Linked DNA regions of Callithrix jacchus. The protein of the gene in region 2 interacts with the protein of the main gene of each other region in a pairwise test. Links are inferred from orthologs where the notes say so. Each region holds a gene or a part of one and is shown on either strand. Other genes may lie near its edges.

Region 1 (3,514 bases), about 100 Mb from region 2:
GACCCATTCAAGCTAACCTGAGCAAACAGGTTCATAGCAAAGCCGTAGTAAGGGAATTCAGTAACAGAAAATGAAGATAGAGCCAGGTCTGGTGAGAACTAGAACTGTAAATTCTCTCTCCTTCTTGTACTTCCTTTGCTTCTTTCTATATATCTACTTCAATCTCTTCTATTTTCTGGTTTCCTCTGCTTATCTACTCATTTGGCTCCCCCGTAACTTTGCAGAACTCATAAATGGACACTCAGAGCTTTTTCTATAGATGACCTCTCATCTCAGCTTCATCTTCCAATGGTTAGCTCCCTTCTGTGGTTCATCGGATTCCTAAGAAAGAGTCTGATTGGGCTATTTTGATTGGGCCATTTCTCTCTCTCTCTCTCTGTGTGTGTGTGTGTGTGTGTGTGTGTGTGTGTGTGTGTCTACCTCTCTGTCTTTCTGTCTGTCTCTACCTCTCTATTTGTCTCTCTCTCGCCAGCATCACAAGCCTATGGTTTGGCCGGCCTTGGTCCAGTCTAAGAGTAGGGAGTAGAATTGAATGTTTTCAACATATCTCCAGGCCTATCTACAGAGGACTTTGGGCAGGGCACGTTCATTCAAAAGTTGGGTATGAGTAGGGCAGACAATGAGTATTGCTAGGACAAGGGCATAAAAATAAAGAGAGATGGCTTGAGGATTTATTTACAAGGCTTTTAAGATGAAATGAAGTAAAATGGCATATAATGACATGAAATGGCATGCTATGTTTAGGAAATCTGAGTTCTAATTCTTTCTGGCCAACCATGTCAAGTACAACCAACTACGTATCCTCCCCGAACTTCAGTTACTTCTCTATATAATGGGAAAGTACACCTCTCCAATCTAATGACCTGGTACATTGATGAACCTATTTGCATAAAGCCTAAGATATATTAAATATCATCCATATGATTAACTGCCTTGGAATACCACCTTGTACCTGTTTGTGTTTGCCTTGGCATCTAGCAAGGTAAGATGGCAGGGCTCTGGGGAACTTGTTGAAATCATAGCAATCCCTAAGAAGAAAACAGATTCCAGAAAAGTAAAGCTGGCCATGCATTTTGTGAGGTGATCACTGCTCCAGCTCCTCCCTCCCTCCGGGTAGACGATTCACTGAGTCCTAAGCTCAGGTCACAGATACTTACCTGCAAAAGAGAGGTCTCCCCTGAGTCTTAGTGGAATTGCTAGAAATTATCGTAATCACAATTTAAATAATACACCATTTGGGAGCAATGAGAAAAGAAGGAAGAAAGCCAGCACCTCATGCATCTGACTCTGGGTGAGGCCCTCGTCTTTTAGCTCTGGGGGACTAAATATTATGATGCACATTTCCCATTCAGACTTCCTTAGAAATGTTTTTTTTTCCTTAAGTGCTTAATATTTATATTCATTAGTCATGTAGTGCTGGAGCATAACATGTCTATCAATCTTGACAGATAAATAGAAAGGGGTCAGGAATGGTCATTGCATCTGAGCATCCTGAGATAGTTGAGACTTTCCCCAAGAAGGAGCAAATTGTCAGTAACTTATCCGACAAGAGGTCACTACATTTGGTTTTCCCATACCACCACTTAACACTAATAAACATTTATATAGCGCCTACTCCATACCAAAATATTCTAAGCAATTTGTAAACTTTAACTCATTTAACCTCCTTAAAGGTGTAGGTAACAGGGCTGTGCTTTATACCCTATGTTGACTTTTAGCCAAGGGGTACAAGAGACCAGTGGTCCAGTCATAGAAAGTCTGAGCTGGAGGATCATCTATCTCAACATCTACATTTTACAATTTGGGAAAGCAAGGCAGCTTGACCCAGGCTGCACCACTCACATGCATCTGACAGTTGTTAGGGACGAAAATCCCCGTCTTTTAACTTCATGCATCTGACAGTTGTTAGGGACGAAAATCCCCGTCTTTTAACTCCAAGCCCTGGCTAATTTGCATTGCACCACACTCCCTTGCCCTAATGAAATCTACTTTGTCTTCCTTCCAGCTGAGCCAGTTCCAGCTGTTGGAACAAGAGATTACAAAGCCCGTGGAGAATGACATCTCGAAGTGGAAGCCCTCTCAGAGCCTGCCCACCACAAACAGCGGCGTGAGTGCCCAGGATCGGCAGTTGCTGTGCTTCTACTATGACCAATGTGAGACCCATTTCATCTCCCTTCTCAACGCCATCGACGCGCTCTTCAGTTGTGTCAGCTCAGCCCAGCCCCCACGAATCTTTGTGGCACACAGCAAGTTTGTCATCCTCAGTGCACACAAACTGGTGTTCATTGGAGACACGCTGACACGGCAGGTGACTTCCCAGGACATTCGCAACAAAGTGATGAACTCCAGCAACCAGCTCTGCGAGCAGCTCAAGACTATAGTCATGGCGACCAAGATGGCCGCCCTCCATTACCCCAGCACCACGGCCCTGCAGGAAATGGTGCACCAAGTGACAGACCTTTCTCGAAATGCCCAGCTGTTCAAGCGCTCTTTGCTGGAGATGGCAACATTCTGAGAAGAAAAAAAGAGGAAGGGGACTGTGTTAATGGTTACTAAGGAAAACTGGAAATATTATCTGGTTTTTGTAAATATTATCTATTTTTGTAGATATTTTATATGAAAATGAAATATTTTAACATTTTATGGGTTAGACAACTTTCAGAAATTCAGGGAGCTGGAGAGGGAAATCTTTTTTTTCCCCCTGAGTGGTTCTTATGTATACATAGAAGTATCTAAGACATAAACTGTACAGAAACTTGTCCACTGCTTGTGTATGCCTATATATTCATGTTTGTTTGTAGATGTTTGTCTGACGTATTTCATTTAAAACAACATGAATTAAGAAGCACCTTAGTAAGCACCTTCTAATGCTGCATGTTTTTGTTGTTAAAAACATGCCAGCTGGTTATGATATTGTTCTCCATGTGCTTATAATGATTCTGAGCCTGGCTCTGCCAAATCTGGGAAGCATGTACATTTGCAAGTGTTCACCTTCCAAATGATGAGGCACAGCATGACTTATTCTTGTTTTGAAAACTCGTCACAGTTGACCATTGTAAACACACAATGGCCAAGTGCCCAAAAACCCTCTCGCAGAGCAAATTTCAGAATATATAGGTGAATCCAAGTTCTGATATTTCAGGTGCTGGAGGGAGGACAGACCTGTGTGTTTAGAGGCCAGGACCACAGTTAGGGTTGGGTTGTTTCAATACTGAGAGAGCTACAATAAAAGGAGAGCAACTGCCTCCCTGGGGCTATTGGATCTTCTGCATTTGCGAGCAGTTCAGCCATGAGGTTTTCCAAAGATGTTTTTTGAGTTGTAAAAACTGTATCTGCAGCAAGGATTCACAAAGACATATCAGATTATCATTGTTCACCAAAACACGGGAATGGTTTGATCCGCCAGTTGCAACTAGAGGCCTTCCTAACTCTTCACATACACTTTGGTGCTACTGCCCCCATTACCTGAGGGAAACTGGCCAGGTCCTTGATCACGGAACTATAGCCATCAGGA
Region 2 (3,514 bases):
CCCTAACTATTCAGGGCTCAGAATTAGGTTTTGAATGAAAGTGACAGAATGTAGGCATTTGCCAGCCTGAAGCTTGGCAGCACATTAGTGCTGAGAATGTTTTTTTAAAATACCCATCATCTTCAATTTCACCATTCATATTTATATGTCACAGAGCAAATCATGATGACCCATGAGGTTTATATAGGAGATCTAATATTTGTGATGTGGACCAGGCATGGTTTTATGTTACTCATAATATTTTAACTGCACTAGCAGATTTTTCAGTGGGGTTCTTGTTCTTCTAACATTATTCCTCATAATCGGACTTTTAAAAAAATCCAGAATAAAAAAAGTCTACTTATGTCTACTCATTATCTCATTTGCATAGGGTCCATATTCAAAATGGGTAATAAATCAATGAGAAAGTAGAAGGAAAAAAAGAAATAAAGAAAAGATTTGACCTTATTTTTGTTCCTTTTTCTTAGGCTTGAAGAGAATTACATTGTATGTGAAGGAGTTTGCTTACCACGGTGCATTCTTTATGCACACTACCTAGATTTCTGTAGGAAAGAGAAATTAGAGCCAGCCTGTGCAGCCACCTTTGGAAAGGTAAATGACACATATTGGCTATAGTGACTTATAACTAAAGTCATGTTGGGCAGATAGCATAAAACCAAATTCATCTGTGTAAGTTCTCTTAGAGACTACTGCGACATCTGTTTTGCAGGCATAAATTGTCTTAAGGACTCTGTTTGGAAGTGCTATATCTTTATAACTTGATTTTGAATATCAGAACCCTAACTATTAGACTATCTAATGCAAATTGAAAGCAAGCTTTGTTTAAACAGTAGCATTTCCCTTCAAAGAGGGATGCATTAAAGTACATGGTATGGCCAGTGTTAAGAAGCAAAATTAAATGGAGTGGTAAGTCTCTTGATAATGCAATTAGTGGTTAGTGGGTATCTTTATTATTTAGCTAGTTCAAATATATGAATTTTTAATAGGTTTTTACTGTATTAAAAGTTCTCCTAATTCTCCATTTCACTCTGTTTGCATTCCCGAACCTCAAGATTTTATGATGGGATGGATTAGAATTCTCTCATTTAAAAGTATTTCTTTCTATCCAATCTGTATGGTTAGGATGGGAATCTGTATAAGTGACATTACTATACTTATATATATAGAGAGAGACATCAGTTTGAGAATCAAAATCAATCTTTTAAGAAAGTCTTGTTCTTAAGAGTCATGTCATGCTGTGTTTGAGGACCTAGGATATCCCAGAAAAACTTTAGGAAGCTTGAGTCTCAAATATTGTATCTCATACAAATTGACATCCAGATTCTGACCTGTAGAAGGACTCATTGTCCAGAAAATAATGAATACTATGCTCCAGCTTCTCATTAAAAAAATAATAATTTATACAAAATTAGACAGGCGTGGTGGCTGATGCCTGTGATCCCAGCTACTTGGGAAGCTGAGGCAGGAGAATTGCTTGAACCCAGGAGGTGGAGGTTGCAGTGAGCTGAGGTCATGCCATTGCCCTCCAGCCTGGGCAACAAGAGCGAAACTCCATCTCAAAATAATAATAATAATAATAATAAATTATTTATTTATTTTGAAAACCTAGCTATTTACAGAGAGAGTGTGATATTGCACACTGTGTAATCAGGTAATCTAGGTTCTAGCCTAGACTGGACTAATTTATTGTGAAACCTTCTGAAAAGCACTTAATCTCTTTAAAATTCAGTTTACTCGTTCTATTAAATGAGGATTTTGGATAAGACAACTTCTAATATCCATAATAACATTACCATTTTCTGAGTCCACCTTATGGGAACAATTCGTAACTGTTTGGCAGTCCTGAAGCACCTTGAAAATCTGGTAAAACTATAGACTCAGCCTCCAAGAAATTAACACATACATAGTTTGCCTTGGAGCTCTCTGAAGTTCATGTATGGATCTTCAAAGATTGAGGTTAAAATTGTTTTATGTAAAAGACTTTTTGAAATTTTTAATCAGATCCTATTTTTAGCAAGTTTAGAGAAAGGAAGATACAAAACAAAAATTTTATAACATTACAACGGAGACACAGTAAGGCAGAGAAAGTTTTATATGTCCTTTTGGGGTTGGGAATAGATTTTTAATTGTGGGTATCTCTGAATGGAATCATTAGGAAGAGACTCAAATCGTGTCACTTCATACATACACGAAGTAATAATTTCTTTGATGGTACCATCAAGCAAAAGCAGATATTGGTATGCTTTGCCTTTGAAATTGAGAACAGGTCAGTAGAACCCTTCAACCAAAAAAGTACCTCCCTGCCTCTGCTGATACATTGCTTATCAATATGTGTAAGTTATTACTTTTTCCAGACTAAGTGTTCACTCACAGTTCATTCAGAGTTCAACATTCACTTTCCCCAAGTAATTGTCTACGAGTGGCTTGTAATAGGACCATATACTTTCTAAAACCTAAAGTAATTGTCTTTCTTTTTAGACAATTCGCCAGAAGTTTCCCCTCCTAACAACAAGGCGGCTTGGAACAAGAGGCCATTCAAAGTAAGATATCAATGAATATAAATCAGATTCTGCTCTTGTGCATGAGGATTGACACAAAGGTAAAATAAGTATTGTCTTTGTCAGTACAAAGAGAACCAGATATTCTCTTGATGAAGCAGACTTTTACCAACTGTGAGAACTAAAAAAAAAAAAACAAAGTAAATTTTAGAATAATTTTTAAAAAGCAAATTTTACATATGAAAATCGTAATATATTATTATTTCTGCTGAAATAATTTAAATGAGTCATTTTCATAATCTTTAAGCTATTACTGAAGGCACCAGTGTCATGAAGGAGGAATGTATGAGAATTAACTATAGTGAACCAAGCAGACTCCACAATGCTCCCAAAGAGCAAGGCCCAAACCAGGGGGTATAGAGCTTTGAGTAGGAAGGAAGTGCCTTAGCATGTTTCAGAATCTTCCTCTAGTTTTCTTTCCCAGGAAATCGTTTCTTGATATCTCCTTCTTTTCTCTTCAAGACAAATGACATGCACAAATGGCCTGTTTGGTTATTTCTTAATATATATATAAACATAAAATAAGCAGTCACACATCCCTTCTCTTCGTATCTTTAAATTTTCCTCTATGTTGTGACAGTCTCTGGAGAACTCCCAGGTACAATTTCTCATTCAACACTATTTTCTCTATGTGCTGTATTTTCAGTTTCTCCTTTCCTTCTGCCTATAAGCATGCCTTTATGCTGAGAAAGAAAAAAGTTCCAACCTTCATGATTGCTCTAGTATTTCCCGCTTTGAGTTGTTGCTTCCCCTACCTCTGGCCTAGTCCATTTCTCTACCATGGCAAAAATCCAATGACTGGTTTTTACTGTTACTCATCTGCCTTGGCTCCTGCCTAGCATTTGAATCAACTGATAATGCCCTCTTTAAATAAATAGATAGAGAAAACTTCCTCTATAGCTTCTCTGTCACAGTACTATCCAGGCCCTCGTCCCTCTTCTACTACTCTTTTTCTG
Region 3 (4,067 bases), on a different chromosome or scaffold from region 2:
TCATATTTTTAGTAGAGACGTGGTTTCTCCATGTTGATCAGGCTGGTCTTGAACTCCTGAGCTCAGGTGATCCGCCCACCTCAGCCTCCCAAAGTGCTGGCATTACAAGCATGAGCCACCATGCCCTGCAAAATTTTAAATCCAAAAAGGTTTGGCTGGGTGTGGTAGCTCACGCCCGTAATCCCAGCACTTTGGGAGGCCAACGTGGGCGGATCACCTGAGGTCAGGAGTTTGAGACCAGCCTGGCCAACATGGTCAAACCCTGACTCTAAAAAAAAAAAAGAAGGCCGGGCGCGGTGGCTCAAACCTGTAATCCCAGCACTTTGGGAGGCTGAGGTGGGTGGACCATGAGGTCAAGAGATTGAGACCATCCTGGTCAACATGGTGAAACCCCGTCTCTACTAAAAATACAAAAAATTAGCTGGGCATAGTGGCGCGTGCCTGTAATCCCAGCTACTCGGGAGGCTGAGGCAGGAGAATTGCTTGAACCCAGGAGGCGGAGGTTGTGGTGAGCCGAGATCGCGCCATTGCACTCCAGCCTGGGTAACAAGAGTCAAACTCGGTCTCAAAAAAAAAAAAAAAAAAAGAAAGAAAAGAAAAAAGAAAAAAATTTAAAACGACTGGCCTCAATGGTTCACACTTGCAACCCCAGTGCTTCGGGAGGCTGAAGCAAGGGGATCACTTGAGGCCAGGAATTTGAGATCAGCCTGAGCTACATTGCAAGACTCCCGTCTGTACAACAAATAAAAATAAAATTAAAGTTAATTTGAAAAACAAAAAAGAGAAACAGTAGCACCTGAATTGGCACCATGTATGTACTAGTAAAAACTAGTTAAAATGAAGTCAGTAACTAAAGAATAAGTGAATGAGTGAACAGGCGAAGGAAGAAAACATAGACCAGAGCAGGTGCGCCTTGGGTTGAGCCCCTCCCCTTGCGTCCGGCCCCTTGCCCGCCCCTGGGCCCCTCCGGGACTACATTTCCCGGAAGCCCACGCGCCCCGGGCATGCGCAGCGGCGCGCTCGGAAGCTGCGACGCTGAGTTTCACTCTGGTTGCCTTCTCCTGAGAGTCGGAGCTGCAGCCGGAGACCTTCCGAGGCCGAGCCGAAGCTACAGCCCGAGCGCTGTGGTGCCCTCAGCCCCGTTCTCTCGTCCTCCTCAGCCTAGGTGAGAGGGCGGGCAGGCTACCTGCGCGTCGCTGGGGCGCGGGGTGGCGCGGGGAGTCGGAGCACAGCCGGGACCGGAAGGGGGCGGGCGTGGGTGTGAGGGGAGTAGACGGCCCGGGCGGCGGGGACACCCGGGGGTCCCGGGAGATCAGGGATGTCGGGGCATCGGTCTCCGGTCTCAAGGTCCTGGTGGCGGGAGTTGGGGGGACTTGGGAGGCGCCGGGAGCCTTGGACGGGACAGGGTGCCGGGTGCGAGAGGGGACGTCTGGGTGGAGGCTGAGGGGCTCCCAGGCGGAGGGGCGCGGCCCCCGGGAGTTCGGGTCGCTCGGGAGGAGCGCACCCCTTCCCACAGGACCCGGAGGAGGCGGTGACGAGATTGCCACCGGCTCTGACGAGGGGTGGGTCCTACTGGGGTCTACCTCCAGGTGAAGGGACTTACGGTCTGGGGGTTGTACTTTGGAGGAGATTGCCTTCTAACTGTGCTTCCCTGCTCTCCGGCTGGGGTCTGCCTTCTACTTTCCCAGGACCTCCTGGGTCCCTTTTGCGGGTGCGTAAGGGGTGCCAACGAAGACTTAGAACTCGGTTCCCTTTTCTGGAGTTGCGCTTTCATCGCGACTCTCAGCTAGCCGCCCTCCTCCTCCAAGCCGGCTCCGCTTCTCTAAGCGCCAACCGCGATGGAAATAAATAGCATGTGTACAAACGCCTGGACCCTTGAGAAACTCAGAATATTTCTGCATGCCCTCCTAGCTCCTCTAGCGTTAAAGAAGGCAGACTTTCTGGTAGCCACCATCCGGGCTTACCTAAGCCATCCTGACAGCAAGCCCTCTGGTTCGGTTGCTCTGTGATCTTGGCCAAATATTTACTGTCTCTGGTATGTTGATTTCCTGGATGCTTAGCTGCCAGACTGGCTTATGAAGTTCTTTTAGGGTTTTCTGTGAAAGGCCTCAGGTCAGGCACGGTGGCTCACGCCTGTAATCCCAGCACTTTGGGAGGCCGAGGTGGAAGGATCACTTGAGTCCAGGAGTTTGACACAAGCCTGAGAAATGAAGAAGATTCCTGAGATACTGTCTCTACAAAAAATTGGATGGGCCTGTTGGCACCTGTAGTCCCAGCTGTTTGGGAGGCTGCGGCAGGAGGATTGCTTGGCCCCAGGAGTTGGAGGCTGCAGTGAGCTATGATCATGCCACTGCACTCCAGCATGGGTGACAGAGGGATAACGAAACTTTTTTTTTTTTTTTTTTAAAGAAGGGCTCAGAGCTGGGTGTAGTGGCTTGTGCCTATAATCCCAGGTATTCGGGAGGCTGAGGCAGGAGAGTTGCTTGAACCTGGGAGGTGGAGGCTGCAGAGACCTGAGATCGCCCCACTGCACTCCAGCCTGGGTGACAGAGCAAGACTCCATCTCCAAAAATAAATACATAATAAAAAAATAGAAGGGCTCAGGGTTTTTTTGTTGTTGTTTGCTTTTTGTTGTTTTTCAACCATCTCCTTGATAAGTGGGTGGAGGAGGCCTTCTGCTCCACCCAGGCTACTGGAAAATAAATCTGGTGATTTTCAGTCCCCAGGCACAGCACACGGATCCAACATCTGCACCTTCGTTTTTACTAACCGCTGTTTCTCAATTTAAAACCTGATCATCATCTTCCTTGTTGGCAAAGGTGCCTTGGAAATTGTGTTGCTGAGTCAGCAAGCCTTTCAGATTTGCCCGGTTTTTGTTGTTTGTGGTTTGCATCAAGATGGGAACTCAAACAAGTCATTCCTCCTAAGGAGCTGGTGTCTTCATCCAAAAGGGACGCTTCGTGCCAGCTCTCAGGAGAAAAAGGTGAGAGCCACAGGGACTTGACCTTGCTGCCTTCTCTGTCTGGTGCAGAGAAGGTGGGGATTGGGGAGGGTGGAATTTGAGGTCTACAGGATAAACGGTCACCCTGGGAGTTAATTGTTGATTGCCACCTGTCTCAAATAAATTTCAGTGGCGTCTTGCCAGCTGCTTCTCCTGTTTAACTAGTCTTAGAAGATGCTTTCCACTTTAAGACATGCTCTATGGGATGGAAGACACAAGTCACGATTTCTGCATTTGAACTGGCAGTTTTCATTTCTTTTGTTGCATAAACCTTTACTGGGTGCCAGACAAGATCTCTGTCTTTTGGGAGCTCATTGTTTGGTGGCAAAGACAAACCACAGTCAGTGATATTGTCAGTGTGACATATACTGAGATGGGGGAAATCATAAGGCCCTCCTACCCACATCCAGGAAGGGAAGGGACGGGGGAGGGTCAGGAAGGCTTCTGGAAGGTGGTAGTTGAAGGGGATTGTGAAGGAGGAGTAGGACTTAGAAAGTGGGGCACAGTCGCCTGGGAGAGGAGTCAGCATTTGCAAAGTCATGAAGCCACCGGGACACAGCTGGGCCACTGTAAGTAGCTTAGTATGTGGTAGAGGAGGCTGGAAAAGCAGGTGGAGGGCTGAGGGGGAGGGTTATGTGGGCCGTGCCAAGACTCGGGAGCAGAAGGATTTTAGCAGAATTCCATGAGGGGCATTGTATGTATTTGTCTGAGGTGGGGTCTACTGCTATTGCCCAGGCCGGAGTGCAGTGGAGTGATCATAACCACAGCCTCAAATTCCTGGCTCGGGAGGAGCTGAGTGGCCTACCACCATACCCAACTAATATTTTAACTTTTTCTAGAGACCGTGTCTCTCTGTGTTGTCCAGGCTGGTCTCTAACTCTGTGTCGTCCAGGCTGGCCTCAAGTGATCCTCCCATCTCAGCTTCCTGGAGTGCCTGGATTACAAGCCTGAGCCGCTGTGCTTGGCCTCCTGAGGGACATTTTACAGGAGCACACTGGCACATGTAGAATGGGTTAGACTGGATTGTTCTCTTAGTGAGTCTCTTTACACCATGCCAGCTTCTTGG
Region 4 (3,969 bases), about 73 Mb from region 2:
GAGCTCCTTTCCTTCTTCTATTTGCCCTTCAATGCCATTATCTCTGGCATCTCCCTGAGGTTCTACAACCTTTCTCTGACCTAGCAGCCAAGTCTTTTTTCCTCCAACCAATGCTCCATCTTGCCTGCTGGGGCTCTCCCAGTCATTGCAGAGGACTGTTTCTGCAGGAGCGCTACTGCCTGGCCCTTGGGGAGGAGGAGCTGGCTGAGCTGCGGCTCTTCTGTGCCAGGCGGAAGCAGGAGGCCCTGGGACAGGGGGTGGCCCGCCTGCTACTTCCCAAGCTTAAAGGACACACCTGTGAGAAGGTACGTAGTACCCCTCCCCCCAGGTTCTCCTTCCTCCACTCTTTGCCCTCTTATTTCTGCAGAAGGCACTAGCTTCTGGGACTCTGGTTGGGAAACAGGAAAAACAGAAACCAAGTTTGGGAGCTCTTGGTATAGGCTGCAGTGGATGTGGGCTTGCTAGGGTATGGTGAGAACAGGTTGGGATTGGATTAGAAGATCAAGGAGGGAAGTTAGGTTGGTAGTGCCTCCTCCGACCACCTCAGCACCTCCCCTCCCACAGTGCAGGGAGCTGCTGAAGCCAGGGGAGTACGGAGTGTTTGCAGCCCGGGCAGGTGAACAGCGCTGCTGGCACCAGCCCTGCTTTGCCTGCCAGGCCTGTGGCCAGGCCCTGATAAACCTCATCTACTTCTACCATGATGGACAACTCTACTGCGGCCGTCATCACGCAGAGTTGCTGCGCCCGCGCTGCCCAGCTTGTGACCAGGTACAAAAGAACTGGGGGTCTCCCCAGGGTCCAGAGTGGCAGGATACAAAGGGACACTCTCCTGGGCCACAGGTTCTCCCAGTATCAGGGAGCGGGGAGAACTAGTAACCAGCCTGGGACTACCAAGTTCCCTGTGTTCTGACTTGAGCTCTGGGCATGTGGGGCCCACGGCCTTTCTTGTGCCCCCATTGCAATCAGAGTCCCTCAAATGTTCTTGGACTCAGAAAATTTCTCTAGAGCAGGGACTCTTGGACAGATGCTCATAAGTATATGCCAAGTGCCCAGTGCTGTGCCTCATCATGCTAGAAATTCCCTTAAGGCCAGCATAAAAGGAAGCCTGGAGCCCTGGGTTGGGAGTCCAGACCCCCAGGTCGAACTTTGGATTGTGCCACTTGCTAGCTGGCATCCTGGCTAAGCCAATCAGTCCTCCCTGTGTCCAAGAGTGGCTGAGTGGATCAAATGGGAATGTTTGTAGACGTGCTTTAGCGTTCTGGGTATAAGGCGTGGTTACTGGATGAATGAATGAGTGAATGAATGAATGAATGAATCGTTCCCCTCTCCCTCTCCCAGCTGATCTTCTCTCGGCACTGCACCGAGGCAGAGGGACGACACTGGCATGAGAACCACTTCTGTTGCCAGGACTGCGCCGGGCCCCTGGGCGGGGGACGTTATGCACTGCCTGGGGGAAGCCCCTGCTGCCCCAGCTGCTTCAAGAACCGCTACTCGGATGCAGGCTGGAGCTCGGCCGGGGCACTGGAAGGGCAGGCGTTCCTTGGTAAGGCAGAGGATGCAGGTCAAAGTGGGAGGGGGCTTGGGCTGGGCTGTGGGGGTTCTCCCGGGCTGGGACCCTTGTCCCGGTCCCACGCCGTCCCGTCCCTCCAGCAGCGCCCGCGGCCTCCCACCGCACCCCCCATACCCGAGCCTTGGGGCCCGCAGCTCTCACCGCGCGTCCCTGGCTGGAGCGTTCCAAGGGCCTCTCGAACCCACCCCGCACCGCGGTCGGGCTTGCGGCGCCGCAATCCCTCCCAGGCACGGGACGCGGCCGCCCTCTGGTGGGTGGAGGCGGGGGACCCAGGAGAGGACTCTCGGCAGCGGCGCACACGGCCTAGGGGCGGGGAGGGGCGGGGCGGGAGGCTGGGCCTCACCCCGGATAGCTGCGGTGGTGGTCTAGCCAGGCTCTGGAAGGGAGATTCCGCGCTCTGAGACCAGCGTTTCCGAACCGGCCAGGAACAGGGGAGGCTGGACCCGACCGAACTGAAGGAAGGGACCAAACCTCGCTGACCTCTGTGACCCTCTCCCGAACACTCCTCGCTGCTGCCGGCTGTTCCAGCCTGCAAACTCGGACCGGGCTGCCTGGATCCAGTCCCCAGCAGAAAAGCCGACCTGGGGACAAAGCGGAGGCACCCAAAGGGCAGGAGCAATGCCTCCTGAAGACTCCTCGTCATCCCAAGGACACTCCTTTCCCCACCTACTCCTCTTCTTCTGACTCGGAACCTGAAGGCTTTTTCTTAGGCGAGCGCCTTCCCCTGTCCTGGAAGACCCCCGGAAACCTCCAAGCAGAGGACAGCAACGCCTCTAAGAAGCACTGCACCGTGTGCTAGAGGTGCAGCTCAGAGAAGGGGTGTGAATGGAGGGAAAGAGGTCTGTAGAGCGGGAGAACAAGGCTATCCTCCCCCTAGAAAAATCCGAGAGTGAGACGCAGTCATGCGCACGCCCGCGAGAGGCGGCGAGGTGACAAGTTTGGAGTGTACTCCCTTCAGCACTGCGTGTTCTAGGACTTCTGGTGGAGACCTTTTTGGCAAAACCCATTGTCCAAAGCTACACTTCCCTTGCTGAGATAGCCTCCACCCCCACCTCCACAGGCTGGGACAGCCCCGTCCCTACCATCCTCCTCCTGAGCCAATTAAATGATCACAGCACGCGTGACGGTTACCGGCTGGAGCGCCGGAGGTGGGACGGGGAGCAGGGGACCGTAGAGCTGGGCCGCGCTCCTCCCCTCGTAGAGTTGGTGGACGCGCAGCAGGGGGCCGTCCCTCTCTTCCGTTATCGGAATAAGCGAACAGCGTCCCCTGCAGGCCGGTGGCCGCCGGAAGTGCCAGACCGGAGGTGCGTCATCCTCCGGCGACGCCGATACGGTGCCTCCAACGAGGTTCGTGCGAAGCTTCCTATTATGGCTTCCAGCGGGGTCCCGGTGAGCGCTGCCGGCTCGGCTAATGAAACCCCCGAAATACCGGACAACGTGGGAGATTGGCTTCGGGGCGTCTACCGCTTTGCCACTGATAGGAATGACTTCCGGAGGTAACCGAACCCGGAGAACTTGGTCCTTCTCTGGTCCTTACGTCCGTATTTTCCCTTCCTCGCGGGGCTGACGCCTCAGGGTTTTTGTTTGTTTTTGTTTTTTAAACATTGCTGGCATTATGGCTTCTTCGTAGCTCTGGCTGTGTCTCACTGAGGTCCTTTACCAAGAGAGTTCCCGTGTGGCAAAAGCGATCTTTCTGTCATGTGGCTGTATCTGTAATGTCACCCTGATCAGGGGGAGAGGTGCCAGCACGTAAACAAGCTTTTTCGGCCCTGGACGAGTGCTTCACTAGGGCTTTGCGTTTGATCTTACATTTATTAGGCACAAAAATGAACTCCAAATTCCCACGTGGGTCTTCAGCAACCCACCATGTCACAACCACGTATCAACGCCTCGGGAAGGTGGTGGTAACTGGAAACCTTTTCCCCCAGTACTTTTCGTTAACCGTACAAGTGACTGACGACAGGGTTAATAAAACACATTGTTTTTCCAGGAATTTGATCCTTAATTTGGGACTCTTTGCTGCGGGAGTTTGGCTGGCCAGGAACTTGAGTGACATTGACCTCATGGCACCTCAGCCAGGGGTGTAGCCAAGTAGGTAAGAACTGAACTACACCCCTGCGTGTCTTAAGAGACCTAGAGGCTGGGAGAAGCAATATTTTCTGACAGCTGTTCACGAAATGTACAAGAATGTGATGTAAAACCCTTGACTATTCCTAGTTAAATGTGTTTTCAGATGTTGCAAGGGATTTAAGTATCTCTTACCAATTTCCCTCCCATAGTTTTACATTTCTAATGCCACCCATTGTCTTATCATCTGATTGCAGACAAATGGAATCCTGTGCTGAACCTGAACCTTCCAAAAAACAGCCTACAATCTGTGACCATCACAAGATGTGCCC
Region 5 (3,514 bases), on a different chromosome or scaffold from region 2:
ATGGAAGTTCAGGACTCAAGGGATTTCCTGGATGAAGAGTAACTGGGAAGGCTTAAGCAGGTTTCTCCAAAGTTCTCACCTTAGGGAGGAGCTCAACCTGGAATAAAAGCAGGTGTTTTGTCATCCCATCTAACCACAGGTTGAGTTACCCTGATGGGTTTTTAAGCTATTCCAATGTGCATCATCTCAATAAAGCTGTTATTTTAAAAAATACATTACTAGATTCCAGTTTTAAAATACTTAAATTTTACAGCTTCTGAAAAAGGAAAGTTATTTCCAACCAGACAAGTAAAATAGGAAAATTGACTCTTTGCATGGAGCATGGTGGCATACGCCTGTAATCCCAACGGTTTGGAAGGCCGGTGCAGCAGGCTTGCTTGAGGTTAGCCTGGGAAACATAAGGAGACCCTGTCTCTACAAAAGATTTAAAAATTATCTGGGCATGCTGGTACATACCTATAGTCCTAGCTACTCAGGAGGCTCAAGTCAGAGGATCACTTGAGCCAGGGAGATTGAAGCTGCAGTGAGCTTTGATGGCACCACTGCACTCAAGCCTGGGTGAGAGAGTGAGGGCCTGTCACTGAAAAAAATAAAATTATGTCTGCACAGACTCTATGCCCAGATAAGGTCCCATTCGCAGGCCCTTGGCTCACTTGAGCCCTGGAGGTGGAGGCAGAGGCTGCAGGGAGCCGAGATTGCGCCACTGCACTCCACCTGGTGACAGAGTGAGTTATTAATAATAACTTGGCTTTATCAGTTCTTTCTGAATCCTTTGACTGAGTCCTCCCAGGACTTCAGCATCTCTCTGGGGAGCACTGTTCCGCCCACAATGCTGGCGTTCGTCTCTGTCTTAGTTGTCGCGTTAACAGTTTCATTTCTTAGCTTTCCATTTGTATTTCCGTAAGATAAGAAAAAGGTATAGTTTAGTATTTGAATCGTTGTGAGAAAGTGTACATGCCAAAGCCACAGATTTGGTTTTGGAATTCCAGAGTTAACGTGTCGTGAGCTGCTCAAAGAATGCGCTGCCTTAGCCTGGACGGCTCCTATAGCCTGCGCAGGAAGTCAGCTACGTGTCTCCTTCTCCCTCCAGGGAACTCTCAGTACAGCCAGCAGCAGGCCGGGTACCAGCAGGGCGCCGCGCAGCAGCAGGCCTACTCCCAGCAGCAGTACCCCAGCCAGCAGAGCTACCCCGGGCAGCAGCAGGGCTACGGTAAGCGGGGCATGTTCCTCAGGGCCCCCCAGCGCACACAGACACGTGTGCAGCAACCCTGGTACATAGGCAGATGTGTAATCAGCTTCTTATTTTGAATAGCTTTAGGTTTCCAGAGAAGTTGGGAACATCCATGCATGTCGGCCTGAAACATTGTAACTTAAACATCAACATAAATTCATTGCCCAAGCAGCCTGTGAGGGAGCCAGTGTCCTGTCCATCCGCCACCTGCACGCTCCATGCCCAGCTTCAACCTCTTTGACAGAGCAGGTCAAAGCCTGTGGGTCTCGGCATTCACTGCAGCTTAGAATCACCCAGGAAGCTTCTGAAAAATAAGGTCTGGGGCTGCCCCAGATCAGTCTGTGCAAAATCTCAGTTCTCAGGATGAGCCTCACCCACGTGACTTCTTGTGAGACTCATGCATGATTCTGCTGTGGTGAGGAAGGAGAGGCCCTGTTAAAGGTTGCTCACCCTTTAGGGCCATCGCTAATTAAATAGTAGTTTAAATATCACTTGAGGAGGCTGGGAACAGCGGCTCACCCCTATAATTCCAGCACTTTGGGAGGCAGAGGCGGGCAGATCACCTGAGGTCAGGGGTTCAAGACCAGCCTGACCAATATGGCGAAACCCCATCTTTTTTTTTATTTTTAATTAATTAAAAATAAATTAGCCAGGCATGGTGGTGTGTGCCTGTAATCCCAGCTACTAGGGAGGCTGAGACAGGAGAATTGCTTGAACCTGGAAGATGGAGGTTGCAGTGAGCCAAGGTCGTGCCACTGCACTCCAGCCTGGGTGACAGAGCGAGACTCTGTCTCAAAATAAAAAGAACTTGAGGCTCATTGTGGTGGCTCATGTCTATAATCACAGCACTTTGGGAGGCTGAAGCCGAAGGACTGATTGAGGCCAGGAGTTTGAGACCAGCCTGGGTGACATAGTGAAACCATCTCTACAAAAAAATACAAAAACGAGCCGGCATGGTGGTGTACTTCTGTGGTTCCAGCTACTTGGGAGGCTGAAGCAGGAGAATCACTTGAGCCCAGAAGGTGGAGGTTGCCATGAGCCAAGATCATGCCACTGCACTCCATCCTGGGTGACAGAGTGAGACCCTGTCTCAAAAAAAAAATTACTTGGCCTTCATCAGTCCTCTCCAAAGCCTTTGACTTAGGCTTCCTAGAGACGATGCCTCTGTAAGTTTTCCGCAGCTCCTGTGATAGTTAACTTAGAGCAGCCAGTGTGACTGGCACCAGCGGGTTCTGGAGGGCTCTCCTGCTCCTCCATCTTTGGGTAGCAGCAGCTCAGGGGTGATGCAGAGAGGCCGTCAGTGCCCCCATGCTGGTGGCAGGCTTGGGGCACAGTCCTGCAACCTCACAGGACTGGAGGGGCTGGTGAGTTGGTTGTGTGCTGCTCTCGCCATACGGAGTTAACGTGAAGCTCCTGCCGGTGCAGAAAGACGGATGCACCCATTTTGGCCTGCCTCACGGTTTCTGCTGTTTTCTCAGGGCCTGCCCAGGGAGCCCCCTCGCAGTACCCCGGCTACCAGCAAGGCCAAGGCCAGCAGTACGGAAGCTACAGAGCACCGCAGACGGCACCCTCTGCCCAGCAGCAGCGGCCCTACGGCTATGAGCAGGCAAGCTTTTTGGATGTTAACAGATGTGCCTGTCCGCCTTGCCTATTGAGACTTAATGAAGATTTCTCTTATGGCCATGAGGAATAATGAGCTAGAACTAACTGGCTTCCAGGGTTCCTTCCAGAATGTTAAGTCTCTGAGCCTGTAAGGTTTTTCAGAATTATTTCTGTGTACATGCTCACCTCAGTCATGCAGCAGCTTTTCATGCCCTAAACTTACTGTTAATCTGCATGCCTGGTTCTCCCATTCATTCCTTCACTCTGCCCACATTTGTTGTGTACTGGGCACACGGCAGGTCTCTGCTGGGTGCCTGGCATGTGGCCATGATATGAACCCTGTGCTTTTAGAACTTATGTCTTGTTCTGGAGACTGTCACTTGTCCGATGGGGCCAGACCTTGCTGAGCACGGATCGGGGAGCCCCTAGTGGAGCCTGCCTTCCAGTGCAGGCGGCCACATTTGACCAGTGTGGACAGTTCCAGAAGGAAGACACAGTGGGGAGTGGTGGGCAGCCGCAGGCTCAGCCCAGGGAAGGGGGAGCCCTTTCTGTCCAGGGACAGTGATCAGGGCTTTGAAAGAGCTAAGGAAAGAGCACCTTGGAAGCGAGAATAGTGGGAGCTCCCAGGACAGTAAGGAGGCCAGCGTGGCAGGAGGCGACAGGGATAGGTGGGCGTGGGGG

What was found.
Region 1: the proteins of RFX6 (region 2) and NEDD9 interact in binary tests that used the Homo sapiens proteins (3 or more experiments, as listed by UniProt). The two-hybrid records come from large-scale screens. The link is inferred for Callithrix jacchus from reciprocal best matches to the Homo sapiens genes RFX6 and NEDD9.
Region 3: the proteins of RFX6 (region 2) and DTX2 interact in binary tests that used the Homo sapiens proteins (3 or more experiments, as listed by UniProt). The two-hybrid records come from large-scale screens. The link is inferred for Callithrix jacchus from reciprocal best matches to the Homo sapiens genes RFX6 and DTX2.
Region 4: the proteins of RFX6 (region 2) and FRS3 interact in binary tests that used the Homo sapiens proteins (3 or more experiments, as listed by UniProt). The two-hybrid records come from large-scale screens. The link is inferred for Callithrix jacchus from reciprocal best matches to the Homo sapiens genes RFX6 and FRS3.
Region 5: the proteins of RFX6 (region 2) and SS18L1 interact in binary tests that used the Homo sapiens proteins (3 or more experiments, as listed by UniProt). The two-hybrid records come from large-scale screens. The link is inferred for Callithrix jacchus from reciprocal best matches to the Homo sapiens genes RFX6 and SS18L1.

The regions. Positions count from the first base shown.
Region 1 is NC_133505.1:19,413,432-19,416,945, forward strand, and holds part of NEDD9 (enhancer of filamentation 1), read left to right. Parts: intron 1-2,005; coding exon 2,006-2,515; 3' UTR 2,516-3,514. UniProt on the Homo sapiens protein: Scaffolding protein which plays a central coordinating role for tyrosine-kinase-based signaling related to cell adhesion. As a focal adhesion protein, plays a role in embryonic fibroblast migration.
Region 2 is NC_133505.1:123,208,158-123,211,671, forward strand, and holds part of RFX6 (DNA-binding protein RFX6), read left to right. Parts: intron 1-467; coding exon 468-591; intron 592-2,478; coding exon 2,479-2,540; intron 2,541-3,514. UniProt on the Homo sapiens protein: Transcription factor required to direct islet cell differentiation during endocrine pancreas development. Specifically required for the differentiation of 4 of the 5 islet cell types and for the production of insulin.
Region 3 is NC_133503.1:11,212,485-11,216,551, forward strand, and holds the start of DTX2 (putative E3 ubiquitin-protein ligase DTX2), read left to right. Parts: upstream 1-1,254; 5' UTR 1,255-1,318; coding exon 1,319-1,347; intron 1,348-2,719; exon of another isoform or gene 2,720-2,819; coding exon 2,820-2,983; intron 2,984-3,457; exon of another isoform or gene 3,458-3,570; intron 3,571-4,067. UniProt on the Homo sapiens protein: Regulator of Notch signaling, a signaling pathway involved in cell-cell communications that regulates a broad spectrum of cell-fate determinations.
Region 4 is NC_133505.1:50,289,807-50,293,775, forward strand, and holds the start of FRS3 (fibroblast growth factor receptor substrate 3), read right to left. Parts: upstream 2,814-3,969; 5' UTR 2,370-2,813; coding exon of another isoform or gene 1,996-2,369; 5' UTR 1,972-1,995; coding exon of another isoform or gene 1,339-1,971; intron 769-1,338; coding exon of another isoform or gene 565-768; intron 306-564; coding exon of another isoform or gene 168-305; intron 1-167. Other genes in the region: PRICKLE4 (prickle-like protein 4), read left to right, coding at 168-305, 565-768, 1,339-1,971; TOMM6 (mitochondrial import receptor subunit TOM6 homolog), read left to right, coding at 2,939-3,066, 3,561-3,657. UniProt on the Homo sapiens protein: Adapter protein that links FGF and NGF receptors to downstream signaling pathways. Involved in the activation of MAP kinases. Down-regulates ERK2 signaling by interfering with the phosphorylation and nuclear translocation of ERK2.
Region 5 is NC_133506.1:57,735,608-57,739,121, forward strand, and holds the end of SS18L1 (calcium-responsive transactivator), read left to right. Parts: intron 1-1,090; coding exon 1,091-1,210; intron 1,211-2,709; coding exon 2,710-2,924; 3' UTR 2,925-3,039; downstream 3,040-3,514. UniProt on the Homo sapiens protein: Transcriptional activator which is required for calcium-dependent dendritic growth and branching in cortical neurons. Recruits CREB-binding protein (CREBBP) to nuclear bodies.